4 linked regions of the Diceros bicornis minor genome follow. The protein of the gene in region 1 purifies or fractionates together with the protein of each later gene. This does not show direct contact. Links are inferred from orthologs where the notes say so. Each region holds a gene or a part of one and is shown in the gene's direction. Other genes may lie near its edges.

Region 1 (6,860 bases):
TTGGACCCTGGGCATGCACGGACGCACTGCTTCGCAAGCCATGCTGTGGCGGCCTCCCATTTAAAGCGGAGGAAGATGGGCACGGATATTAGCCCAGGGCCAGTCTTCCTCAGCAAAAAAAAAGAGGAGGATTGGCAGATGTTAGCACAGGGCTGATCTCCTCACAAAAAAAAAAGACTGAAAACAGAATAGCAGGGAGTGCTAACACATGGGTGTGGGGTGTGGGGAGGAGCCTGTGAAAGAGCCTTAGAAGAAAGAAAGGGAGGGATGAGGTGAACCAGGACAATGTTTCTCATTTCCCATCCATCCAGAGATCTTTCCACCAAACGAAAGGTGCTCAATCTTTTTCTACTGACAGGGTGACAAGCACATAATCAACCTACTTCCACAGGCACACCCCGATTTTGACAAATCCCCCCAAATGTTGCTAAGAAATAAATACCATGTTGCTGGGGGGGAAAAGGGAGGTTGGGGGTTAGGATAAACAGAGAGAGTGAATATATAAAAGCATTATTAAGTCTGTTAGCAGCTGTTAATAATACATCATTATAGTGACCACCGACAGCAGCATAAATTAGATAGCCTTTGGGTAACGCAAAATTGCCAAAACACTTGCTCAACTGCCTGTCTCTCCCACTCAGCAAAGGAATCAGAATACAAGTCAGAATGATGTTAAAAGGATAATCTGAAATCTGCTCAAAGTTTGTGAGAATTAAATTGCATTTGTCTGAAAACTTCATTTGAGAAAAACTGTACTGAAAGCATCCTGTTTCAATTTACCCTATCTAAAACCACTTGCTCCCTTCCAGAAGCTCATCTGTACTGCAGGAGACCCAAAATTTCATCGCTGGGAGCATTTCAGCAGATATTTAACCACCAGACAGTCAGTGTCCTCCTAGCGAGGGAAGGATATGCAGGAAAAAAGCAGCATCTCATTGGTTTCCATGGGATTCCTTTTGGCTTGTCAACATGACAAGCCAGTTTTTCATATAAAACAGCATCACTCTAAGGATAACTGGCTTTTTACCAACTCATATTGGCTGCTATTAGGCTATTGCATTTTCCGAGGTGTTTCGAAACTAGGTGGTGGTTTACTTTAGAATTTAGTCTTCCCGGAAATCCAAGCTAAACTCTTTAATCCTACAATCTTGAGAGCCAGCCTCTCTCAAAAGATGAGTCCCATGGCTAACATCTACTGAAAACTGGATTCAAACCCCATAAAACAATCCTAAAATCAAGGCAGTTAAAAAGAAGAGGAAGGAAACAAAGAGCCAGGGGCAATAGGATAATAGCACCCGACCTCACAGGGCTGCGGTGATTAAATAAATTTTACTTGCAAAGCAAAGCGGCGGGAACAACGCCGGGCGCACAAGCACTCGGCAAACGTTAACCATTAACCAGCACCGCAGAGGAAAGGGGCTTGGGGAGGCTTAGCCGAACGGCGGAGCCCCAGCTGAGGGGGAGCGAAGGCGCACGGCAGTGGAAGCACCGCTCGTCTCTAGGAGCTGTGGGTGGCGGCCGCGTGAGGAAGCATCAACGCGTTGTCAAGCAACCGGCTCTCAACAACACCCGAGGCGGCCGCGGCGGCTGCGGCCCGGGAGTTCAGACTCGGTAACCAGGGCTCCGCCCCCGCGCCAGCCCTGCTGCAGCGAGACCCCCACCACAGGGAACCATGCCCCGCGGAAACCGGGCACCGCCCCCAGCCCGGCGGCCGCGAGACCCCATGCGGCAGGAAACCCGAGCCCCCGAGCCCCGTAACCCGGACACCGCCGCCGTCCCAGCCGTCGCGAGACCTCCGCCCCAGGCAGCTCCTGCCCCCGCCCCGGGGCCGCGAACGCAGCCCTGGGACACAACCCCCGCCCCTCGACCGCACCCCGCCAGGCCCGCTCCCCACCCGCGGCCGGCGAACGCTTACTCAGGAGAGCGGGCTCGCGTCCGGAGAGACGCACAGCGCTCTAACGACGCTCTCCGTGGTCGAAACAGGAGGCGGCAGCCGCCTGGCGCGGGAACAGTGTGACAGCCGCAGGGCCCGGGCTCCGCCTCTCCGGCCGAGCCCTCCGCCCGCCCTTCGCCAACTGCCGAGCGCGGCCCCGCCCCCACAGCGGCCGCGGGGGAAGGCCGCGCGGCTGGGGGCGCCCCCTGCCGCCCCGGAGGCCGCACAGCCTCCTGGCTGTTCGCAGGGCTCGCCCGCACCTAGGCTAGGTACTTAAGCCGCCTGGCTCCCCTGCTCCGCCTGGGGGCTTAAACCGTGCGAGCCACTTCCCAGGCTAAATCGATTCCAGCCCCTCCAAACCCTGCAAGCCCCAGCCGGCCTGGAACAGGGTCGAAACCTGGAAAGAAAAAAGGGTTGAGGTGGCAGTGAGAGAAAAACTTGTTGACGTACTTTTCCAAGACATTACGCCTCTCCCAGGAGTCTGGTCAACGTTTTGTCCTTGGCTTTTATTACTAATTTCAACATACTCAGTTGACGCCAATATTGAGTGGCCATATGCTACCACCAGAAAAGAGATCTCTAGCTTCCCAGGAGAATAGAAGAGTCCTTCATCCTAAATTACTTCGTAAGAGGCTTTTAAAGACAAATTTTCAACTGAAAGTCAATGTCAAAACCGCAGGGGAGGACGTGGATTAGATAATTCTAATGTTTTTGTTTGGAATATACGCCACACCGTACTAGGAGTGGAAGATACAACTCAGAGCGGAGTGTCCTACATTCCGAAGCTTACAGTAAAAAAGAAAAACTTTCAAGTAAATAATTATTACTATATTAAAAGATATATATTATCAAAAGATTAATATTAGCTCCCAGGCAGAAAAGTTAGGGGAGAGCATTTTAGCCAATGCTGACCACATATGCAGTTTCAGGATGACTAAAGAAAGATGAAGCTGGAGACATGAGCTCTGATGCTATTCTTTTGTTTTTCTCCCAGCAAAAAATTTATTGAACATCTATGCTAGGTGACAGGGATAAAACAAGGAACACAAACCTGGTCCCTGTGTTTTGGAACTTAGAATCTAGTGCAGAGAGGGAGAGAGGCGGAGAAGGAAAAATCCCTAAAACAAGAAAATAAATGAAATAATTAAACATTGCATTAACTGTTGGAAGAAAACACCTTGCTGAGATTAATTCGGTCTCGAGGACAGAAGTGGTTTCACAGAGCAATGCTGAAGATTAAACTAAACTATTATAAGAACTGAGTACTGGACATTTTCAGAATACTATTAACTCATATAGATGTTACTTTTTACAAACACGCCAAATAGCATGTTCAGAGCAATCCACCAGTTTCCACAGCCGCCTCCGAACGCTAGAGAACGCCCCTCTGAAAGCGTAGCGCCCAACACCAGGAGCCCACAGGATTTTACGCATGTGCAGTGAATCATCTGGAAGTAAACTAGGATGCCATGTTTATCTTTCTTTCAACCAGCATCCATAACTACTTATATCTCAATTTTTCCACAGACATCCTTATTTTTCAGTCTTTCAACAAACATTTCATTTAAGGTACCCACACCCACATAAAATTTTCTTTCCCCATCCCAGCTTAAGGATCCACCCATTTTTAATATGGCAGAGGCCGAGCGTGCGCAGTACAAACAAAGAGGGCCACTTCCAGTTTCTGGCATAACGTTACCATGCCCTTCTTCCGGTGCGGAAGGCTATACCATTCCCGTAGCCAACATTGTGTTTGTCCTAATTCACACATATAATTTTCCAAGATAATGTGTCCTCATTTCAGCCACAGGAAGATTCCCCTGTCTCTCACTATTATGAAACTGCTGTTTCTATTGTCGCCCCCCGAAGGGTCCCCGCCATCCTCGAATGGTCTGTACCAACTTCACCTCCGGTTCTAGGTGTCATGGCTGCCTCGAGAGCCTAGTACGAGTTTGCACCTGTGGTGGGGAGGGTCCGAAGCCCACAGCCGGAAACCTAGCGAGGTAAAGTTGCGTTTTGGTTGTGGAGGCGACGACTTCTCCGATTCCTCAACGATGGCGGCGTCCGGGAGTGGTATGGCCCAGAAAACCTGGGAATTGGCCAACAACATGCAGGAAGCCCAGAGTATCGATGAAATCTACAAATACGACAAGAAACAGCAGCAGGAAATCCTGGCGGCGAAGCCCTGGACTAAGGAGTGAGGAGGTCCCTGGCGAGACGCAGGGGAGGGAAGGGGTGGCGGGAGTTTGAGACCCAGAGAAGTGGGAATTGAAGGGGTGGAGAGCCTGTCTTTTCGTGGGCAGGGAGGAGAAAGAATATGCGCCTGAGAAATTTTTGTCTACCTCTTATCCCCGCAAGTAGAGATCTTAAGCTCCTCCACGGGGGCTTGCTTCGACTGCCCTATCTGTTTCTTTAACCCGTTTGCCTCCGGAGGATGGAAGAGGAAAACGGCAAGCGGTGATTTGGGTTGTCACTTCTCAACATCCGTTTTGTCGTATATGCCACCCACTATGCATTGAATCCTGCGTCTATAGACACCTTCTTGGGACCTTCAGCTGATCCCATACTGGAGACTGCAGCTGTCTTCAGAAATTGAGTTAGCCCAAGGGTCTCTAAAATAACTATGTGCCATCTTTTAGAGATCTATAATTGTTTTTTGATTGCTGGTAATTATTTCAGAAACACAAGGAGGCTCTACCCAGTCTCCCAAAATGTTACTCTACCAGTGCACATAAACTAGAAATTATATCAATAGAATTTAGGGCTCCTTGCCTCTTAGCAAAACCCCTGTGTCCCTGGGAGTGATGACAAATCGAGGTTCATTACTCAGCATTTATCCTTTCCTGAGAACAGATTTTGTTAAGGAGAAAGTAAAAAAAGCACAATCTCTCTAATGGAGAGAAAGAAAGGAGAGCGGTGGTTAACAACAAAAACTGTACTTCATTTGTCTCCCAGTTTTTTATGAGGCAAGCTTTAAGTGTCAGTATTCAGATTTAGCAGTGTTCATTGAGTACTTAATATGGGCTGAGCGCTGAGCTAGGAATTTCCATATGTCATTTAATTCTCATGACAACACAGTACTGTATTTTCATTCCTTTTTTGAAGATAAGAAAACAAGCAAATACAGTAACTTATTTTATGATCACACTAAGGCAATGAACTCTTAAGTGAGCAATAGTCAGACCCAAGATCAAATCTCACAGCTGTCACTAGTTGATTCATCCTAGGAAATTTACTTATCCATCTTCATTTTTTAATCTGTAACGTGGAAATAAGACGTACCTATTGGTCATGCCATAAAGATTAGATGAGGTAATGTATAAAAACGGGTCTAGAATGTATGTAATAGGAGCACAATAACTGTGTCTTTTTTTCTTTTCCCCAGTAAATGGAGGAGCCAAGATTTTAATTCATGTCTTGACTCCCAAGACCACGTCTCCATATTTTTCAGTTGTGATTGAAATCTGTGGGCAGACATCTTAAAAAGGCTTCTCAGAAACATTGACTGACCACTCTATACAGACTGGTTAGTTTGCCTGATTGTCTTCTTACTTCTATAGCAGGCTATGCATTTTAGGTTGATGTAGCCTATTAAATATTTGGAAACTATCAGGTTGCCTCACTGATTTTGGATGATTATATTCATCCTAGCTGTCTTGGGCTGCATCAATGAGACAGAAAATGTAATTTTATTCAAGAGCAGTTTAGTCACATCCACAAATGACAAACTCTGAAGTAGTGATTAGAGTAGAACTGAAGATATTAGGGCTACATTTTCAATTTTGAAGCTGATACCACAGAGAGAAGCCACACTCTTCAACACACTATTCTTTGGGAGTATTGTAAAAGATAGGTTAATAATGCTAATAACAGCTAGCACTTACAAAGTTTTAGTATGTGTCAGGCACTAAGCTAAGCACTTTGTATATATTATTTCATTTACTTTATTTCCTTTTAACAACTCTATAAAATATCCCTATTTACAGATGAGGAAACTGAGGCACAGACATTAAGTGGTGGTCTCAAGGCCACAGCTAGGACCTACACAGATGGATGTCAGAGCCCACATTCTTAACCATTAGGCCAGAAGGTTAAGCCTGAGAACAGTTAGGTACAACCATCCAAACAGAGTCAGAATCAGAGATTTGGTGATTCCAAAATTAATGGAGAAAAAATCTATTAAAGTGGTCATGTAATTCCCTCCTTTCTCCTTGAATAGCATATTTGAAAACTATTTCATACTTTTCCCTTGCCCCAAGGCGAAATACTTTGCAGGACTATGACATATTTATTATTTCCATCCCCCTGTAGGAACTCTGTCCTTTCCTACTTCCTTTTTCTTTCCTACATTCTACATTCTTTCTCCCCCTTCCATCACTGTAAATTCCTCCAATATTTGTTATCTTCACAAAAACTGTCTTTTGAAATTGTACTTTATATAAGAAAGTTAATTACACTGTGCTTTTGTTTTGTAGTCACCATTACTTTAAGTACTGCAAAATCTCAGCATTGGCTCTACTGAAAATGGTGATGCATGCCAGATCAGGAGGCAACTTGGAAGTGATGGGCTTGATGCTGGGAAAAGTGGATGGTGAAACAATGATCATTATGGACAGTTTTGCTTTGCCTGTAGAGGGCACTGAAACCCGAGTAAATGCTCAGGCTGCTGCATATGAGTACATGGCTGCATATATAGAAAATGCCAAACAGGTAAAAATGTTGTTCCTTAAAGTTTAGTAACTGCAAGTTAAGAGTCTCATGGTTACTTCTGGGTTGCTAAGCTTAAAACTATCCTCTTTACATTAAAGTTTCTATTTTAAGTTATTTCCAACAATTTTTATATAAAATGTATATGAGATTAACACGGATTTTTTTTTAAATAAATTCTCACACTCGAGAGTAGGTCTTAAAAATTCTCATCACAAGG
Region 2 (6,850 bases), on another chromosome or scaffold:
TGTAATCTATGCAGAAATAGAAGTACAATGATGTACACCTGAAATTTTTACAATGTTATAAACCAATGTTACTGCAATAAACAAAAAATTAAAAAAAAAAATTAGTATTTGAAAAATCTCCAAATAGGAATTGATGTACCAGAGGATGTTTCTGCCAACTATTCGAATATCCTTATAGTTACAGTTTGTAAATTAGTGTAAGGAATGTTAGATATTTTTCACTGGTTAAAAGAGGGGTATTCAAGATACATGTTGGGCTGGCTTAAAACAGTGCTGGCAAGTCCTCTCCTTCTTGAACAGAGTATAAGAATTGGTGTGCATTTGGTGTGACCAGGTGACCTCTTTGAACCTTGATTTTCTTCTCTGTAAAATGGGAAGAATAATATCTGTCTCCGAGGGGATGCTGAGAAAAATGAAGCTACACCTACCTCCAGGCCTGGCACTTAATGATTGTTCTATGCATGTGTATTTGTTCCTTTTCCTTCGACCACCTTCTTTACTATATTATTTTGAACTCCCCATTTTATATCCGTTACCATTTTCTCTTTTGTGTCCTCATCTCAACTCTCTTGCTAGACACAGCCTTCAAGCTGGCCTCCCTCTGAAGATCCCAGGGCAGTCTATCAAATCTTCTACACCAAATCACCTGGGATGCTTCTTTAAAATGCAGATTCCAGGGATCTACCTCCAAAGGCTGTGCTTCCATGTGCCTGTCTGTGTGTGGTCCAGGAGTCTGCAGTATCATCAGCACCCCTAGCTGTGCTGAATGAGGTGATCAAGGGCCACACTTAGAGGAATCTGTGATCTGAGCAAACTTTGCCTCAGAAGCCCTAGAGCTGCATTTTCTTCAAATTCAGATGTGAACAAAGACAGCAAACCTAGTTTTCCAGTCCCCCATGGGGCCTCAGACTGAGCTGACCCAGAAATCTGAAGTGAGTTCCTCACCCACACTACTCATTTCTGTTCTTCTTGACAACATGGAAACATCACTTTTGCCTATCCAGCATCCATGTCCCCTTTCTCTGGTGACCCTCTGGATTTTCCTCACTCCTGGTCAAAATGGTTCAAGCAAGGCTGACGCCTCCCCCCAACTCAAGTCAATGAAGGTCAGCCTATGGGACATTTACTAGGACCGGGGAGAAGATTGGCCTTCCTTCAGGGATACTGAACTGGTAGGAACAGAAGCCTGGCGCTGCCTGGGCTAGTCTTACATAAGGTGGAGAACCTCCTGAGAATGAAACCATAGAGATCTGTGACATCTGTAGGCCCCTGGGGTTCCTGATAATATGAGTTACTAATTCTCTTTTTGGTTTAAGTCAGTTTGAGCTGGAATCTTCCTTACAACTGCGAGTTCTGACTAATACACAGAACTGACCCCCAAATGAAGGCCTTTACATCACCCTTTCTCTCCTCCTCTCACCCCTAGCTCTCTGCACCAATGGATCCCCCCTGACTGGGCTGTCCCAAACAATTCCCCTCCACCTCACTTTCCTCACAGAACATCACCTCCTTGCCACAACTGAAATCCTAAGGACGCAAGTTTATATCCCTGTAGGCAGGGGATGTTCCTCTTTAGGTAGGGCCAGGTCTAGCCCACTTTTCTTTCACACTTAGATAGGGAAAAAATCCTTTTCCTTTGAGACTCGTGTTATTGAGCTCACTAATCTTTACTAATTTCCTGGTTACTTAATTCACTTAGGACTTGCACATCTGTTTTACAGCCTCTTCTACCTCTGCCCTCATTCCAGAGGGATCTCACCATTCCATTTAATAGCCTGTAACCATACTTTATACAGCACTTACTGCATATCAGGCAAGATTCTTAGCACTTTACACATATCTTAGCTCACTCAACCCTTATAATAGCATATTATCCCCATTTCATAGATGAGGAAACTGAGGCACAGAAAGGCTATTTAGACTTGTCTAGAGTTACCCAGCCACAGAGTGGTAGAATGGGGATGAGGACAGGGAATCTAATCACAGGGTCTGGGATCTTAACACACACGCCAGCCTCCCAGTGCCCTCTAATTGTAGCATCCCCCATATCTACTTTATATTGGTCCTCTGAAGGTGGGAGTCAGGACCTCCTCCAACCGAGTCACTGGACATTTGTAAGGTCCTTGGAGAGATGTCAGCTGAGGGTGGTTTGGATGGGCATTGGAGATCTATACCTCCTCTTCCTACAGCTGAATCATTTAAGGTCATGTCCCATATAAATGTACCAACTGATAGATAGGCCTAGAAGCTGGGATGTAAGTTGGGCTGAAGACACAGCAGCAGCAAAGCAAGTTATACATTCTGCTCCTGGGACTCCAGGAGCACAGGCCTCTCCTCTGCCCCAATAGTCTTTATTGTCTATGGGAAGCTTGCTGCATTCAGGCCAGTCCACCCTCCTCTGTCTAGGATTGTCCTTAGCATGTGTCCCTTGTCCATATCCTTACCCATGGCCCTGTGCTCCTCATCCCTCCAGAAACTTTGCACAATAGGTTCAACACCTCTGGTTTTCTTCCTTCCTCTGTTTGAGAGAGCACGGAGAAGCTAGGGGCCCTGAGAGGAAGCCAGGGAGCAATTTCAACATCCCAGCCAATCACACATGGATGTAGCTTCGTCCAGAGCTGCTCCACTCTGAAAATTCACACTCAGACCCCCCACCCCAACATTCCGGCTCTCATTCCTCTCTCCAGCCCAAAAGCTTCTCCACCTCCCCTTCCAGCTGCTGAAAGGCCCTCCTGGCTTCACAATGCCCGCTAACATAACTTCCACGAGCCCCAGTCCTGCCGGACGCAACCTGCCACACGCATCCCTATAAGAACACAAACGGCCCACTTCTCTGCTCCAGGTCTACTACTGGTAGAAAAAATTCAACAAATGTGTGTACCGGTGCCATCAGAAAGATAAGGTCGCCAAGCTCAGCACGGCCCCCCATGACACCAAGCAAGCCTTATCAGTGCTCACAATAGCTACCGTTATAACTATTTACTGAGCGCTCACCATGTGCCAAGCAGTATCCTAGTCACTTTACAAGCACTTGATTTAATCCTCAAAACACCACCATGAGTTAGAGACCATCATGGGTCCCATTTTACAGAAACGAAAACTGAGGCACCGGGCAGTCAGGACCCGCTCGGGGTCACAACTGCACCACTCTGGCCGTACTCACATCCCGCACGCAGCTGTGTGCTCGCCAGGAGCCCAGCCAGGTGCCCGGCCGTCCCTATGGCACTAAACTGCGGTGTCACGCTGAAGCAGCGGCTTCACCGGCGAAAGTGAAAGAACGTGAACGAGGCAAGAGCAGCAGAGAATCCCCGCCGGGAGTTCCGAGAAGGAGGCAGGCTGCACACGCAGAGACAATTCCCGGTCTTCTTTACTCAGCACCTTGGGGGGTGCGCGCGGCTGGGGGGCGGGGGCGTGGCGGGCCTCTTCCAGGAAAGCGCCGGCTTTGGCGGCACCTTCTCGATCCTGGGCGCGTTCTATGAAGGCCTGGCTGACCCCTTCCCACGTGACCCTGTGGCTCTGGGTATGGCCGTCGCCTCCCCGCCTCCCCGCGCCGTGCACTCTGCACGCGCCCTTTTGGTCGCTCGATGGCCCCCACAGGTCCCCAATCCCAGTCCGGGTACGGGACAGCCTTGCCGGCGGTTTCGGGCGGAGGGTGCTTCCCGGAGCTCCGCCCCGCGCCGGCGACGGCCCCGCCCCCCGACATTGATCCCGCTCCCACCCGGCGGCTCCGGGAGGCGGGGCCTGGCCGGGCGACTTGGCGGGCTCGGGAGGCCCGAGCGGGCGCGCCCCCGCCACACGCACGCCGCGCGCGCCCGCCCGTCCCGCCCCTACTGCATAAAGGGAAGGAGGGCTGCGCTCGCTCCAAGCTGCGTCCGACGCTTTGGATCCGCTTCCATCGCTTGTTGCGGTCGCTCGTCAGACTCCAGCTGCCAAAATGGTGAAGCAGATCGAGAGCAAGGTACGCGCTCCCGGGGAAGGCCGGGCGCGACGCGCAGCCTCCGTAGCTGGGGAAGGCGAGGGGCCGGAGCTGGGCAGGCCGCCGCTCCGCATCCCTGGGCGAAGGGGACGCGGCGGCTCGGCCTGGGACTGCGAGAAGCCCGGGCCTGGGTGCGCCGGAGGTGTCGAGCATGCCCTGGAGGAAGGGCGGAGGGGGACGAAGGCGCCCTGGAGGGCGAGGTCGGGGTGCCCAGCGCTGCCCGCGCCCACTGCGCCCGGGGGATGCACGCGCACTGGGAGCGCCCAGGTGTCCCCCTCTGCGCCTCCTGCACCTCCCGGTCCGGGAAGCCGTAATTGAGGGAGGGGATGGAGGGAGTCCGCCCTTGGCCCCATAAATATCCGGATACGGGCCCGGGCCAGCAGGTGGAGGGACCCTTGGAGAAAGCACGGGGTTGCTGGCCGCCACTCTCTCGCCGGTGAGCGGCGTGATCCACCCGCGCTGGGTGGGTGAGCTCCCTTGGGAGCGGATCTAGGCCGGAGACCTCCGGCTGCCGGTCCCCAGAGATGACGCGTGCTGTATCCGCGCAAAGGGGGCGGTTCCAGGCTGGAGACCCTCCTCGCGTGTGGGAGTCCGGCCCGGAGGCCCAGGTGGCCGCAAGGAAGTGAGGTCCGAGCGGCGCCCTTGGGACTCCTCCTCTTGCGGCGCAGGGCGTGTTTCCGGCGGCGCTGGCTTTGGAATGACTCAGTCCCCAAGGCTAGGCCCAGGGGACTGCGCTGCCCTACCCATTTGTGATTCACCCACAGTGGGTGGATTTCTCTGAAGCCTTAAGTTCCCCTGGGAGCAGCCGTGCCCGCCTGCGTGCTCGTCGCCCCTGGGTACCCTGTTGGTGGTTCTGTCCTTTTAGGGATGCCCAAGGCAAAAAGTGTTCTCCTACTGGAGAGTCATTGCAAGCCTAATACCCTCCTGCCCGGAAAACTCAGAGCCTAACATAGTGTCTGGTATATTGTAGCTATTCAAGAAATGTTTGTTAAATGCAGAGTCTTGAAAGTGAGTGAGAGAGCATTGATGTTGCTGGAACAGTGGAAGACCTCTCCAAAGCATTACCCCTGCGGTACCCCCGACCCTAGGATAAAGCAGGGGGAAGGCGAGACCTCCCCCGCCATGAGTGCCCCCACCTGTTAGCTGCTGGGATGGGCTTTGGGAAACAAGTTTCTCTGTGATGATCCCTTATCTTTTTGTTACTTTTATAATCAGAAAACATGTATGATCATGGTAGAAAATTTGGGAAGAGGGAGATTGTCTATTTCCTAGAAGCAACCACAAAGTAATTGAGATTATTTTACGTATACTGTTTTGTTTCTGAGCTTTTTATCCCTGTCTAATTTAGCCTGAACACTTTCCATGTAACGAGAAGCTTTTGTAATGATTTCAATATCTGAACGCATTACTGCACGTTTCGGCGGTTTTCGATGCTTCAGTGAATATTTTTGTTCATAACGCTTTGTACAGACAGAGTTCAGACTGTTTCCTCAGGTTGGGGTCTCGAGTGCAGTGATGGTGAACCTTTTAAAGCTTGTCAGTGCCCCAAGAAACATAGGAGAGTTCTCCTTGCCCTCCACCCCATGAACGCTGACTTTTCCCCCGTAACTTCGGCCAAATCATTAGTAAGAAAAATAGTCCCAATCTAATCTGAATATCTTTGATTATTAGTGACTCTGAACCCCTCCCCCCGCATATGTTGATTGGCTAATGGTAGTCTGTTGTCTGCTTTTCCTTGATCAATTTTTTCCTATTGGGATCCTCCTTTTTTAAATTGTGTGAGCTTTTATATTAAAATTAGCACCCTCTCATTTGTTGAAAAGAGAGATCCTTGATAGTGAGTTTTGTTCCACATAATTTTATTCAGTACCTCCTAAGTGACAATCTGCGGTGGGGGTGTTCTCCAGCCTCTGGCGACCTCATCAGTATAACCCAGCAGGTGAGAACCCATTGAAGGAGTGAGGCAGCCTTTGAGTGGCTTCTATTAGTTGTTTCACATTCCATACACTACAAACAAAAAATTGATTCCTGGAGTACGCCTTTCAGTCCTTCCCTATTTTAGTTGTTGGAAAGATGGCACTCTCCTCCTCTCATCAGCGGGAAGATGTGCAAGGGTGACAGGAAATTCATTACTCAAAAAAGCACTAGCCTGGGGCCTAAGGACCCTGATAATCAGTTGATCTTCAAAATTGTGATCCAGAGTCATCAAAATTAAATTAATTTGACCATTACTTGTGAATATTGAATGCACCTTAGATTTTCATCCTAGTGGACTACGTTGGTGCCCTGGGCCATCCAGGATAACTCTGAGGCACTGTGTTGGTTTAGAGCCACTAGGCTCTATTTCAGACATGAGTGGGATAATGGATTATAAATGTGATGAGAAAGAAATCAACAGTTTGTTTTCTTTTCTTTAAAGAATGGTAGCTGCCATTTATTGAACTATCTTCTACACACAGGCATTTTGCTAAATGCTTCACATCCACTCTTAAGCTTATTATCTCTGGAATGGGTATGTTTAGGAAAAGAGATGCTAGACTCTGCTCTTATCTACCTCAGCTCAGCTCCATTGTTTTGTTTTCAGAACATTTGTGTCAGTAATGGGTACCTTGATTAATCCTCATTGTTAGTTTCCAGGAGCTAGAAATGGTGCTTTGCATCTTCGATAGTCTTGAATCATTTTTAAACTGATGTCTGTTTTAGGCAAACTTTTAAGTATCAGGAGATGAGAATTTGTTATGAAGTCTGCACATACCTGGCTCTGTAACTCCTGATCAGTTAAGCCAAAAGTTATCGTTGCATGCCTCTTTTCAGAGTTTTAGGTAGTTTTGCTTGAATTTGATTCAGAATCATTTTTGGGAAACCCTTGAGAGT
Region 3 (7,258 bases), on another chromosome or scaffold:
ATTTGAAATTAAAAACAGAATACCATTTACATTAGTACCCCAAAAAGAGAAATACTTAGGTGTACATCTAACTATATATATAATTTTTATGAGGAAAACTACAAAACTCTGATGAACAAAATCAAAGAACTAAATAAATGGAGAGATAATCCATATTCATGGGTGGGAAGACTCAATATTGTCAAGATATCAGTTTATCCCAACTTGACCTATAGATTTAATGCAATCTCAATCCCAATCCCAGCAAGTTATTTTATGGATATCAACAAAGTGATTCTAAAATTTATATTAAGAGGCAAAAGACCCAGAATAGCCAACACAATATTGAAGGAGAATAACAAAGGTGGAAGACTGACACTACCTGACTTCAAGACTTACTATAAAGCTATCGTAATCAAGACAGTGTGGTATTGGCAAGAGCATAGACAAACAGATCAATGGAACAGAATAGAGAGCCCAGAAATAAACCCCCATAAATACAGTCCACTATTCTTTGACAAAAGAGCAAAGGCAATACAATAGATCAAAAATAGCCTCTTCAACAAAGGGTGCTACAACACCTGGACATTTACATGCAAAAAAATGAATCTAGGGCCGCCCCGTGGCTTGGGGGTTAAGTGCGCGCACTCCGCTGCTGGCGGCCCGGGTTCAGATCCCGGGCGCGCACCGACACACCGCTTCTCCGGCCATGCTGAGGCCGCGTCCTACATACAGCAACTAGAAGGATGTGCAACTATGACATACAACTATGTACTGGGGCTTTGGGGGGGAAAAAAAAAAGGAGGAGGATTGGCAATAGATGTTAGCTCAGGGCCGGTCTTCCTCAGCAAAAAGAGGAGGATTGGCATGGATGTTAGCTCAGGGCTGATCTTCCTCACAAAAAAAAAAAAAAAAAGAATCTAGACACAAACTTTACATACTTCATAAAAATTAACTCAAGATGGATCACAGACCTCAATGTAAAATGCAAAATTATAAAACTCCTAGAAGATCACATAGGAGAAAACCTAGATGACCTTGAGAATAGTGATGCTTTTTTAGATACAACACCAAAGACACAATCCATGAAAGAAATAATTGATAAGCTTGACTTAATTAAAATTAAAAACTTCTGCTCTGCAATAGACAATATCAAGAGAATTAGAAGACAAGCCACAGACTGAAGAAAATATTTGCAAAAGACACATCTGATAAAGGACTGTTATCCAAAATATACAAAGAACTCTTAAAACTCAACAAATAAGAAAACAAACAACCCAATTAAAAAATGGGTCATTCCATGACACATTGATCTAAGGAAAAAAAAAATGAGTCAAAGACCTTAGATACTTCACCAAAGAAGATATACAGATGTCAAGTAAGCATATGAAAAGATGCTCCACATCATATGTCATCAGGGAAATGCAAATTAAAACAACAATGAGATACCACTACACACGTATTAGAATGGCCAAAATCTAGAATACTGACAACACCAAAAGCTGACCAGGATGTGGAGCAATACAAACTCTCATGCATTGCTGGTGGGAATGCAAAATGGCACAGCCACTTTGGAAGACAGTTTGGTGGTTTCTTACAAAACTAAACATACTCTTACCATATGATCCAGCAATCATGCTCCTTTGTATTTACCTAAAGAGGTGGAAAACATGTCCACACAAAAACCTGCACATGGATGTTTATAGCAGCTTTATTCATAATTGCCAAAACTTGGAAGAAAGATGTCCTTCAATAGCTGAATGGATAAATAAACTGTGGTACATCCAGACAATGGAATACTATTTGGCACTAAAAAGAAATGAGCTATCAAGCCGTGAAAAGACATGGAGGAACCTTAAGTTGAAAGAAGCCAATCTGAGAAGGCTACATATTGTATGATTCCCACTCTATGACATTCTGGAAAAGGCAAAACTATGGAGACAATAAAAAGATCAGTAGTTGCCAGGGGTGGGGGGTGAGGAAAGATAAATAGGCAGAGCACAGAGAATTTTTAGGGCAGTGAAAATACTTTGTATGATATTATTATTATTATTATTTGTGAGGAAGATTAGCTCTGAGCTAACATCCATGCCAATCTTCCTCTTTTTGCTGAGGAAGACTGGCCCTGGGATAATATCCATGCCCATCTTCCTCTACTTTATATGGGACGCACAGCATGGTCTGACAAGCGGTGCATCAGTGCACACTGGGGATCTGAACCCAGGCCGCCAGCAGCGGATCGTGTGCACTTAACCACTACACCAGGGGGCCGGCCCCTGTGCGATATTATAATGATGGATATATGTCATTATACGGGTGTCCAAACCCACCCTTAGGTAAACTACAGACTTTGGGTGATTACGATGTGTCAGTATAGGTGCATCCTTGATAAAAAATGTACCATTCTGGTAAGTGATATTGATAATGGGGGACGTTATGCGTGTATGGGAGCAAGGAGTATATGGGAAATCTCTGTACCTTCCTCTCGATTTTATTGTAAACCTAAAACTGCTCTAAAAAATAAAGTCTTAAAAAAAAAGTTGAACAAATAAAGACCTGGCACATAATAGAACATATGTTGGCTCTTTTCTCATTCTTTCTTCATATTTTTCTTTTTCCTTCCCTCTTTAAATTGATAAGACTGGATTCATTAATTCTTTGGTTCCTCCAAACTTTGGATATTTTCTTATGCCTTTGATCTCTTCTCCTCACTTTTTTTTTTTTTTGGTGACGAAGATTAGCCCTGAGCTAACATCTATTGCCGATCCTCCTCTTTTTGCCTGAGGAAGATTGGCCCTGAGCTAACATCCGTGCCCATCATCCTCTACTTTATATGTGGGACACCTGCCACAGCATGGCTTGATAAGTAGTACGTGGGTCTGCGCCTGGGGCCTGAACCTGTGAACCCCAGGCCGGCAAACCAGAGTGTGCAAACTCAACCACCACGCCACGGAGCGGGCCCCTCTTCTCACTTTTATGTGTAATCTCTTCCATTCATTTCTTCTTCTCTTTCTCCTCCTCTGCCACTTCTTCCTCCTTCTTTTTCTTCTTCTCCTTCTCTCTCTCCTTTCCCAGTTTCTGCTTCTCATTTTCTATCATAAACCAAGCCATGTGGACCATAAACTTTGAGCTTCAAGTCCCTTCAGCTCCAGCAGTCTACCAGTCCTGTGATTTTCTCTTCATTTATGTTCTCTTTTCCCACTTTCTCTCTTTCCATTACTTATAAATTACTTAACTTCCCTGGGCCTCAATTTTTCCATTTGGAAAATGGAAATAATAATAGATTATTATAACCATCAAATGAATTAAGTAAAGCTCTTAGCTCAGTGCTTAACACAAAGGCCTCCAAGAAGTCATTAACTTTATTCTCATTTGACCCTCTGCAAGCCTGGTATGAAAGATAAAAGTGTAGAAATGTTAGCTGTTTATTTTTTCCTAAAATACAGTGGTAAAATGGGAAGATGCTTTGGCTTTGAAAAGACCTGGGTTCTAGGCAAATCTCTGAATTTTTATGAGCCTCAATTTCCTCATCTGTGAAATGAGAATAATAACATATGCCTTCCTTCCACCTAGGGTTTTTTCCTCCTCGAGGAATTAAGAGTCAATATACAGGAAAGCATCACTCTACAAGTACATGTAATCACGATAGACAGTGTCCTGGAGTCACACTGGGGGCACAGTATAGTTATGAGGATTCAATAAGATAAAATTTTAAAAGATGCCTAACCAATAGTATGCACTCAATACATATTAGATATTATTATTTGCTTTACCTTTTCCACTTCTTTTCTCTTGTTCCTCAAAAAAATGAGTGGTTGAACTACCCAGGTGATCTCTGGTGCTAAACTTCTATTATTGATTTTTGTCCTCTTCCTCTCTCCTCTTCATCCCCCCACCTTTTTTCTTCTTCTCCCTCTCTCTCCATTATAGCTTTCCTCTCGCCTCAGGCACCCGTGCAGCCTGGATCTCCAGATATCAGGCAGCTTAGAGCTGCCACAGAACCACCAGGTACCGGACTGAGACCACGAGTTCCCTCTGCATTTAGCGTCTTAGCGCTCGTCCAACAATAAAGTTTTATTAAAACAAAGCAGAAAAAAAGGCACCCGTCCTTCTTTCCTCAACAGCCAATCAGCAAGTAGAATGCTTGTGTCACTCACAGGAGCTTCAGCAGTCGGAAGGAGGGGGCGGGGCATGTTGCGCTCGAAACCGGCCTCATAAGAGCGGAAGTACGGCCGGAAGTCAGCCATAGAGTGTAGTGGCCAGAGTGCCCCTGCAGAGAGGTCTCAGGAAGGGCTCGGAGCAGCTGCCGGAGGTGACGGAGCGGCGGCCCCGCCCGGTGCACTGGAAGACGAAGCTTCCAGGTAGCGGCCCGCAGAGTCTGACCCGGGGTAGGACGGGGCAGGCTGCGGGAGCCCACGGTCCCTGGCGGCTTCTTTAAGGGAGGGGGCGGAGCCACGTGGAAGGACTGTGAGGGTGACATCACGTGGCTGGGGGTACATTCGGGGCACCAGTGGCGATTTGAGGGAGCGTCGTCGTTGGGGTGGACATCATGTGACACTCCTTCCCCACTGCATCCTTGCCTTAGGGTTCAAGGGGGTGCACGTGGTGGGGCTTGAGATTAGGCCCAGGGATGGGAGAGGGTGGGCGTGGCCATCCTGTCTCAGCCAGACTTCCATCAAAGTGGCCAATTTTAGGATTCCTAGATCCGAGTTTTAGACAGCTCCATCTCTGATTCCTCACTGCAGACACTCAGTGCCTCTGCAGACCAGTCCCTAGCCCTTGTACTTCCCCACCTCCCAGTGTTGAGGGACTTCCAGCTTCACATCCTCTTTCCTTGCAGCTCCAGACATCCTGAGCCCAGGTCCCCCAGCTCAGTGCAGCCATGAGTGCCGAGGTGAAGGTGACAGGGCAGAACCAGGAGCAGTTTCTGCTCCTGGCCAAGTCGGCCAAGGGGGCAGCGCTGGCCACACTCATCCACCAGGTGCTGGAGGCCCCTGGTGTCTACGTGTTTGGGGAACTGCTGGATATGCCTAATGTTAGAGAGGTGGGTTCCTGGCCTGAATAGCCCACAGGGAAACTTGGGCTAAAGTTTGGATTTGAGGATGAGTGGGCAGGGCACGTTTTGCAACCCCATAACCATTCAGTTGAACAAGAATGCGTTGATGATTAACTGGCAGCTTGCAAAAGTAAGTATGCAAGTAAACCTCCTACTTTCCCTTTGGGGATGAATGATCTGTAAACCCCAGTATTTTCATTTTTAAGCAAAAGAGCATGTGATTCAGAATAGGAGACCTGATTTCAGCTTGTCTCCGCCAGTGTAACATTGATCGAGTCACTTTTATTTTAGGGCCTCAGTTTTCTCTTTTAAAAAGGGAGCTGATACTGCCCTTCACTGTTACTGTAGGAATCAGTTGAGATTATGGAAAAGTGTAAAGTCTGGGACAAATGGAAGGAACAAACATGAAATTGGCATGCCCTCTTCTCCCCCTTTTGCATGATAGCTAATTCACTTAAGTTAGATAAGTTAGGAGGTTTCTTTTCCTCAAAGACACGTGGCTAGAAACACAGCAGAGAGAACTGTTCACACAGAAGTAGCAGAGTTAAGAGTTTAAAGTCCAGAGTGTGTGGGTCACCAAGATGTATGACACCAGCAAGTATTTGTTTAGAGAGCTGACTACGTGCATAGCTCTGCTAGACCTAAGTGGGATACCAGAGGCTGGGTCTGTAATCTTGTTGAAAAGAAACATATTCTTGGGTAACAACCTTAGGCAGGGTTTGATTGATTAAGTGCCAGAATGAGTGATTAGTGATAGGAAGAGAGGAGATCTGGGTGGGCTGGCCTGGGTGATGAAAGCCTTCTGGGTGAGGCAGGTCTGAAACAGAGGCCACAAATTCCAGTGCCTGCCTAGGCCATGCAGCTATCAGAGATGAGAGAGGCTGAGGGAGGCGTCTTTGGTGAATTGGGGAGTACAGCAGACTGCCTAAAGATATTCAAATGCAGAAATATTAAACACACTCTAAGGACCAAACAACGCCGTTTATAATGTGTGTGTGTGTGTGTGTGTGTGTGTGAGACACTGAACACTCTGAACGTTTTCACCTCTGAATTTAGGGTAGGAATTGGAGGCCTGTGGAGGAACAAGGCGTTGTGGATTGGGGGAATAGTGTAAGCAAAGGCCTGAAGGGGGAAGTGAGGCAGAATTGGGAAATTCTATGGGAATTTGGGAAAGTGATCAGAGAGGCAGAGAGTTCCTTTTGGTGAGCTGGGAGAGCTAATGTTGGAGGGGAAAGATGGGGCCAGAAAGTGGAGTTCAAACCAGGGTAAGGCTGGGAGGTTGGAGAGAGAGGCCCTTCCTGTCACCTCTTCTCCCTGCTTATGTTCTTGCAGCTGGCTGAGAGTGACTTCGCGTCCACATTCCGGCTGCTCACGGTGTTTGCTTATGGGACATATGCTGACTACTTAGGTAACCAGAGGGGCTGGAGCTCCGGAGTCATGGAGGTGGGAGAAGGGCAATTTCTGGAGGGACTTAGAAGAAATTCCTGGCATACCTTACTTAGGTTCCTTAGGTACGCAGGGTCATGGTCAAGACCTGAATTGGCATGGAGAACACACACAAAGAAATGCAAAGGAAGAAGGCTAGGGCTTCCCACAAAAGTGAAGTCAGGATTTCCTACACTTTGTCCTTTTTTCCCAGCTGAAGCCCGGAATCTTCCCCCACTCACAGAGGCTCAGAAGAATAAACTTCGACACCTATCAGTCGTCACCCTGGCTGCCAAAGTCAAGGTGAGTGACAGTCCCCCCCAGGCCTGAGCCAAAGAGCACTCTTCGGTATGTCCCTTCGTAAGGGCCCATCTGAAGGGAATTTGCACTCAGACAGCCTTTGACCATACTGTTGCTTCTTCCTGCCTTCCCCCCACATCCCTCTAAGGTCTGTATCTAAACTTCATTACCTGCAGCCTTTTAGGCTGAGTAGTATTCTCTTAGTTTTCTGTTTTGTTTTTATTTTTCAGTCAACTTAAGTTCTAAGTAAAACATCTTTTGTGCTTTGTGTCAAAATGACGACTAGGATGCTGTTCTCTGTGTTGTTCAACAATCACCCTCCTCCCCACTATATAAAGTCCCATGGGAACGAGGGTCTCTCTCCTCGTTGAAGTGCTAGGCTTCTATTTGCTAGAATAAGAAATGCATAACCCAGGGGCCGGCCCGGTGGCGCAAGCAGTTAAGTGTGCGTGCTCCGCTGCGGTGGCCTGTGGTTCACCAGTTCAGATCCCAGGCACG
Region 4 (7,192 bases), on another chromosome or scaffold:
TCTGATCAAGTTCCTCATACCCCACCCTTGATAACTGATCACCCTGGCTTGCCTTCAGCAAGAATTTGAAGTCAGTTTAGCAAGAATCCCCCTACCCTTGACATCTCCTCATAGTAATTTTCCATCTACTGACCCCCTCACTTTGCTTGTTGGCTATAAATCCCCAGCTGTCAGTGCTGTATTTGGAGTTGAGCTTGATTACTCTCACCTGTTGCAATGCCCCCATTCGATAGACTCGAATAAAGTCTTTCTTACTATTTCTTTTGTGTGTGTGTGAGGAAGATCAGCCCTGAGCTAACATTCATGCTAATCCTCCTCTTTTTGCTGAGGAAGACTGGCTCTGAGCTAACACCTATTGCCAATCCTCCTCCTTTTTTTTTTCCCCCAAAGCCCCAGTAGATAGTTGTATGTCATAGTTGCACATCCTTCTAGTTGCTGTATGTGGGACGCGGCCTCAGCATGGCTGGAGAAGCGGTGCCTCCGTGTGCGCCTGGGATCCGAACCTGGGCCGCCAGTAGCGGAGCACACTCAACTGCTAAGCCATGGGGCCAGCCCAAAGTCTTTCTTACTATTTTAACAAGTGTTTAAAATGTTTTTTGTTTAGGGCCGGCCCAGTGGTGTAGCGGTTAAGTTCGCGCATTCCTCTTCAGCAGCATGGGGTTTGCTGGTTCAGATCCTGGGTGTGGACCTACTCACCACTCATCAAGCCATGCGGAGGCAGTGTGCCACGTAAAAGAACTAGAAGGACCTATAACTAGGATATACAACTACGTACTGGGGCTTTGGAGAGAAAAAAATAAGTTTTTTTTTGCTTTTCTAGCAATTTGTCCATTTCAGCTGGGTTATCCAATTTTTTGGCATACAGTTGTTCATAGTACTCTCTTAGAACCCTTTTTATTTCTGTAGCATAGGTGGTAATGTCCCCACTGAGATTTCTGATTTTAGTAGTTTGAGTCTTCTCTCTTTTTTCCTTAGTCCATTTAGCTAAAGGTTTATCAATTTTGTTGATCTTTTCAAAGACCTAACTTTTGGTTTCATTGATTTTGTTTTGTTTTTCTAGTCTCTATTTTGTTTATCACTGCTCTAATCTTTATTATTTCCTTCCTTCTGCTAGCTTTGGGTTTAGTTTGTTCTTTTTCTAGTTCCTTAAGTGGTAAAGTTAGCTTGTTGATTTGAGATCTTGCATGTTTTTTAAGGTGAGCCTTTATAGCTATAAATTTCCCCCATAGCACTGCTTTCACTGTGTCCTATAAGTTTTGGTATATTGTGTTTTCATTTATCTCTAAGTATTTTATAATTTTCCTTGTGATTTCTTCTTTGATCCATTGGTTGTTTAAACGTGTGTTGTTTAATTTCCACAATTTTGTGACTTTTCCAGTTTTCCTTTTGTTATTGATTTCTAACTTCATCCTGTTGTGGTCAGAGAAGATACTTAGCATAATATCTGTTTTTTCAAATCTATTGAGACTTAATTTGTGTCCTAATATATGGTCTATCCTGGAAAACGTCCCATGTGCGCTTGAGAAGAATGTGTATGCTGCTGTTGTTGGGTGGACTGTGCTGTATATGTCTCTTAGATCTAGTTGGTTTATCGTATTGTTTAAGTCCTCTTTTTCCTTACTTATCTTCTGTCTGGTTGTTCTATCCACTATTGTGAGTGGGATACTGAAGTCTCCAACTATTATTGTAGAACTGTATATTTCTCTCTTCAATTCTATCAGTTTCTGCTTCATAAATTTTCAGCCGTTATTTCTTCAAATATTCTCTCTGCCCTCTTCTCTCTCTCTTTTCCTTCTAGGACTCCCACAATGTATATGTTGGTTCATTTTATGGTGTCCTATAGGTCCCTTAGGCTCTGTTTGCTTTTCTTCAATCTTTTTTATTTCTGTTCTTTGCCTTGATAATTTCTATTGTCTTCAAGTTTTCTGATTCTTTCTTCTGCCTGCTCAAATCTTCCTTTGAATTCCTCTAGTGAATTTTTCATTTCAATTATTGTACTTTTCAGCTCCAGAATTTCTTTTTGGTTTCTTTTTAGGTTTTCTATCTCTTTATTGATATTTCCATTTTGTTCACACATCATTTTCTTGACTTTCTCCACATCTTCCTTAAGTTCTTTGACCATCTTTAAGACAGTTGTTTTAAAGTCTGTGTGGTATATTTGCCATTAGGTCTTTTTCAGGGACAGTTTCTGTTGATTTTTTTTTCCTTCAAATGGGCCATACTTTCCTATTTCTTTGTACGCCTTATGATTATTTTGTTGAACACTGGACATTCGAATCTAGCAATGTGATCACTCTGGAAATCAGGTTCTCCGTCTTCCCCAAGATCTGCTGTTTTTTTGTTATTGTTTTTATATTTTTGATTGTTGTAGGCTGTCTCTGTGCCAAGGATAAGCCTGAAGTGTAAACTTAAGGTCTTCTCAGGTCTTTTTTCAGCCTTTCCCTGGGTGTGGATGGTCACTTTCTAATTTTCCCCATCTTATATGAGGTTGTTTTTAATCTACTAGTCTTTAAATGTCTGGTTCCCAAAAGATGAAAAAGTGAAAAATGAAGGAGGGGAAAAAGGGTGCTGGTCCTTTAAATCCCATGGAATTCACTTCAGCTGGGGGGAGGGAGGCTTGCAACAGCACCAAGAGGTGCAACAACAATGGTTACCCCTCTTTGTCTACACCTGTGTTCAGAAGCAGACATCAGAGCACAGATCCTTGATATCTAGAGGACAGGTTCCTTTTTGCCCACCCTGGCTCCCATAAGCTATGTGCAAGCTGCGCCAGGAACATGTGTACAGCTGCCTGCCATGGGGCTGGGGGTGAGGGACAGGTAACTGCCACTGTGCAAACTGAAAATCACAGCAATTGACTGTCCAAGTCTTCCTCTGGAAGTCACCAGCCTTCAACATACTCCACAGTTCCAAAATAGAATCAGACAGATTCTGCCAGTGCAATTGTTGTCTAGGTGGGAAGACAGATTCCTGGTGTGCTTCCTACTCTGCCATCTTCCCAGAATCCTCTATTTCATTATTTTTATTATTTCCAGTTTACTAAAGTGTTTTTGGCTTGTGCTTGAGCTCAGCTTTGACTGCATTCCATAAGTTTTGATATGTGTCCTCCTATTTTTTGCTACTAAATTATGATTTTATTGTTTTGTACCAGATAATGCCACCTGTACCATGTTTGCTTTGGTACATTTGAAGGTTTTTTTTGAGATTTAAAATATGGTCTGGGCTGCCCAGTGGCTTAGCAGTTAAGTGGGCGCACTCCGCTACCGGCAGCCCAGGTTCCCCGGGCCCGCACGGACACACCACTTTCCAGCCATGCTGGGGCCGTGACCCACATACAGCAACTAGAAGGATGTGCAACTTTGACATACAACTGTCTACTGGGGCTTTGGGGAAAAAAAAAAGGAGGAGGATTGGCAACAGATGTTAGCTCAGAGCCAGTCTTCCTCAGCAAAAAGAGGAGGATTAGGACGGATGTTAGCTCAGGGCTGATCTTCCTCACACACACAAAAATAAATAAATAAAATATGGTCAATTTTTGGTGACATTAAAAAAAAAGAATCCATGAGTCCACAATGATACTGGAAAACAGACAGAATAGAGGAAGGGGGAAAGAGAAGGGAGGGCTCTTTTTTTACAGAACATCAGCTGTTAGATGTAGGGGGTTCCAAGCTCAGATCCTGGGATTACACAAGAGCAGCGGCCCTCTGGAGTGGTGACTTGGACATCACTGGGGTTGGGGGGCTGTGAGGAATCATGCCCTCCAGCCCCCTCCACTTCCAGGCGAGAAACTCCTTGAGGCATAGTCTAGGGACCTGTCTTAGGCGCTGCAGCTGGCGATGAGTGCCTGAGGGAACAAAAGGGCAGAAGCTTCAAGGGCCCGCAGGTCTGAGGAGGAGCCTGGGGCTTGGGCCTGGCCGCATCCAGCTCGGGGCTCACACTTGCTCAGCGCGCCCGGCACGCGACTCATCGATGGAGCCCGCCTCCAGCCCCAGCTCGGGGGGCCGCGCGCGCCTCCGCACCCCGACCCGGCGGGGACGCGCCTGGCGCGGGGACGCGCTCCCCGCGACTCGGAGCAGGGCGGGGCAGGCGGCGGCGCGCGGCTCCGGAAACGCCTTTTCCGGAAGGCAGGGGGGCGGCGCCAGCCTCCGGGGCGGCTTCGGCTATGGCGGCTGGGTCGCTGGAGCTGTCTCCCTAGCCAGGCCCTGCGCCGCCAGAGGATGGCCTCGCTCGGGCCGGCCGCTCCGGGCGAGCAGGGCCCGGGGGCTGAGGCGGAGTCGGGCGCCGCGGCGCCGGCGTCGCCATCGTCTCTGGGGCCCCTGCTCCCCCTGCAGCGCGAGCCGCTCTACAACTGGCAGGCGACCAAGGCGTCGCTGAAGGAGCGCTTCGCCTTCCTCTTCAACTCGGAGCTGCTGAGCGATGTGCGCTTCGTGCTGGGCAAGGGCCGCGGCGCCGCGGCCGCCGGGGGCCCGCAGCGCATCCCCGCCCACCGCTTCGTGCTGGCGGCCGGCAGCGCCGTCTTCGACGCCATGTTCAACGGCGGCATGGCCACCACGTCGGCCGAGATCGAGCTGCCCGACGTGGAGCCCGCCGCCTTCCTGGCGCTGCTGAGGTGAGCGGCCCCGGCCGACGGGGCCCGGCCGCCCGGACTCCCCGGTGACCTTGAGCCGGGCTCTCCTGACCCGCCCCGGGCCTCTGTCCTCCCGAGCCGGTGATGCTCCGGAAGGTCGAAATCAGAATCCGTCAGGCGGGCGGCCGCCGCCGGGTGTTAGGGCGAAGGTTAAGGTCGGGGTCCCATTAGCGTGCGCTTTGCCGTTGAGAGGCGCCTTCGCGTTCCAACAGCGGATTATCGCCGAGGCTTCAGAGTTAGAGAAGTGGGAAGGATAGAGTGTGGGTCAGGTTGTCCTGATGGCCCGTTTGCCAAATTTTATGTTTTTTGAGGGGAGAGGGGAATAGTTGAAAAGTCTTGTAGGACCTAGGGCCTTTTTTTCTTTTAAACTCTTACTCCTATTTCATTAGCATAAGTATTAGTTGTCAAGACCCAGGAAAGTGAATACCAAAACAATAAGTGTGGCTTGACCTGCCTTGCGTTTCTGCAGGCAAGGTCACACTAGCCTAAAAACGAATCCCTCCATCGGTGTTCGAGTTTGCTTTTTGATTATTTGAGGATAGTAGATTGACTTCTGATTAATTTTATTTAATGGAAGGGAGCTAATAGTTTGCCATTATTAGCTTTTAGTCACAAAAGTCCAATTAGGGAGGTATAGGTCTTGTTTCCCACAATTTTACAAATGGGACTGAGGCCCAGAAGAGTCAGATAACTTGCCCAAGGTAACAGAGCCAACTCACACGGAAGACCGTTTGTGTTTCATTATACCAAAATGGTTTTAGCTGCCTGAGTAGAATGTGTTGTTATTAGTAGCAGAGTCTTGGGTGGTACTGAGGCAAAAACAGGTAGGTCAGGGAACAGATGACAGCCTGCAAAGGCTCACAGCTCAATCAGGAAGATAAATAGGAAATTGAATACAGAGTTAACCCAAGGAGGAAAGAAATGCTAAGATCCTGTTAATAAATGGATAAAGGACAAGATAGATAGCTTAGGGAAAGAAGAAAATACAACTAATTAACAAAGAATGTTTAATCTCGTTAGTAATTAGAGAAGTGCAAATTAAAAGTAAAGTACTTTGCGTCTTCTGTTAAACCATCAGAGGAGCCCTCTCTTGCAAAGGTGGTGGTAAAACACTTTGGCACCAAAGATTTTTTTTTACCACAGATAAGAAGTATTCAAGTACTGAAAAAACAGTCTACAAAAATTTTGCAGCAGGATTATTTATAGTAGTGATGAAGTAGTCAACTGGAGGGAATGGTTAGATATACAGTGATAGGTCAATTTGATGGAATGTCATGCAGCTACTAAGTATGATGCTTATCAAGACAAGGTAGTAACATTAACATGGAAAATGTGTATAATAAATAGTATTTGAAACTGTGCACACTGTGGTTAAAGAAACAGAACAAACATGTACCTAGAGATAAGGATAGAAGGAAACAGCAAAATGTGAACCGAAGTTGTGTTGGATTGTTAAGATGATATTGCCTTTTTTTTTTCTTCTTTTCTCTTTGATGCCCATATTTTCTGTAATTTAGTTCAATTACATTTATAAAAGGAGAAGAAAACAATTCAAAAGCTAGGATCTAGGTCATTTTGGTTTTTGGTTTGAAGTTGACCAGGAGGATTGGTTATAGCTTGTTTAGATTTTCTAGACTGGAAGTGTTTTAAAATGATCTGTTGGTCCATCTGCATTGTAATCTCCCAGAGTACTTCTTGAATTTGTAGATCCCTTCTTCCCTCCTTACAATATTGCAGTGTTTTGAGGTAGAACCTCAAGAGCATTTTTAATATTCTCCCAAAATACTAACTGGCTAAATTTGAGAGCCAGTGATCAAAAAATATTGTTGGGTAGCTTTTCCCTTTAAAAAATATTGAGATTGCTAGGATAAGAATGTAGAGGGAAAAATGCTTATTTCATATTTTCACTGAAGCTATTAATCAGTCTTTTCCCATCAATAGAAAATAAGTGAATTAATTCAGAGTCCCTGAAATTTTCCTATTTTCAGTGTAGTCATGGCATTTGTCCTTCTTCAGGTAGGTTCCAGTCGTTATTCTATTCTGAAAGTGATATCTGGACTGAGTTTAACCTAGATATTGGCTGGCTGTGAAACGTAGATGCTGAACCTACTATTGTGTGACAAAAAGATGTTAGCACTTGCTGAGTTGGAAAAGCAGATTAGCTTGGGCATACTTTTATTATGTGCGCAACTTGAATTAGTTAACATTAGTTACAGGCTTTTGAACGTGAGTTTGAAGCACTTTAAGAAACTGCTCAGGGCAGGCCCCGTGGCTTAGCGGTTAAGTGCCCGCGCTCTGCTGCTGGCGGCCTGGGTTCGGATCCCGGGCGCGCACCGACGCACCGCTTCTCCTGCCATGCTGAGGCCACGTCCCACATACAGCAGCTAGAAGGATGTGCAGCTATGACATACAACTATCTGCTGGGGCTCTGGGGGGAAAATAAATAAAATAAAATTATTAAAAAAAAAAAAAGAAACTGCTCATTTTTATCTGCCTGACCTTTAAGTGATGTTCATCAGCTGTTCATTTGAGAAATACTGTGTTCCTCCCTTGTGCCAGTCGCTG

What was found.
Region 2: the proteins of COPS5 (region 1) and TXN purify together in Homo sapiens (affinity purification with western blotting; 3 studies listed by BioGRID and IntAct, with this or other methods). This does not show direct contact. The link is inferred for Diceros bicornis minor from reciprocal best matches to the Homo sapiens genes COPS5 and TXN.
Region 3: the proteins of COPS5 (region 1) and COPS7A purify together in Homo sapiens (affinity purification with mass spectrometry; 19 studies listed by BioGRID and IntAct, counting the BioPlex papers as one, with this or other methods). This does not show direct contact. The link is inferred for Diceros bicornis minor from reciprocal best matches to the Homo sapiens genes COPS5 and COPS7A.
Region 4: the proteins of COPS5 (region 1) and BTBD1 purify together in Homo sapiens (affinity purification with mass spectrometry; 3 studies listed by BioGRID and IntAct, counting the BioPlex papers as one, with this or other methods). This does not show direct contact. The link is inferred for Diceros bicornis minor from reciprocal best matches to the Homo sapiens genes COPS5 and BTBD1.

The regions. Positions count from the first base shown.
Region 1 is NC_080772.1:19,447,629-19,454,488, reverse strand, and holds the start of COPS5 (COP9 signalosome complex subunit 5), read left to right. Parts: upstream 1-3,936; 5' UTR 3,937-3,987; coding exon 3,988-4,130; intron 4,131-6,408; coding exon 6,409-6,643; intron 6,644-6,860. UniProt on the Homo sapiens protein: Probable protease subunit of the COP9 signalosome complex (CSN), a complex involved in various cellular and developmental processes.
Region 2 is NC_080767.1:19,027,845-19,034,694, reverse strand, and holds the start of TXN (thioredoxin), read left to right. Parts: upstream 1-3,850; 5' UTR 3,851-3,934; coding exon 3,935-3,958; intron 3,959-6,850. UniProt on the Homo sapiens protein: Participates in various redox reactions through the reversible oxidation of its active center dithiol to a disulfide and catalyzes dithiol-disulfide exchange reactions.
Region 3 is NC_080756.1:55,005,212-55,012,469, reverse strand, and holds the start of COPS7A (COP9 signalosome complex subunit 7a), read left to right. Parts: upstream 1-4,233; 5' UTR 4,234-4,340; exon of another isoform or gene 4,341-4,452; intron 4,453-4,819; 5' UTR 4,820-4,861; coding exon 4,862-5,023; intron 5,024-5,046; exon of another isoform or gene 5,047-5,081; coding exon of another isoform or gene 5,082-5,165; intron 5,166-6,367; coding exon 6,368-6,443; intron 6,444-6,674; coding exon 6,675-6,763; intron 6,764-7,258.
Region 4 is NC_080744.1:95,509,154-95,516,345, reverse strand, and holds the start of BTBD1 (BTB/POZ domain-containing protein 1), read left to right. Parts: upstream 1-4,177; 5' UTR 4,178-4,217; coding exon 4,218-4,609; intron 4,610-7,192.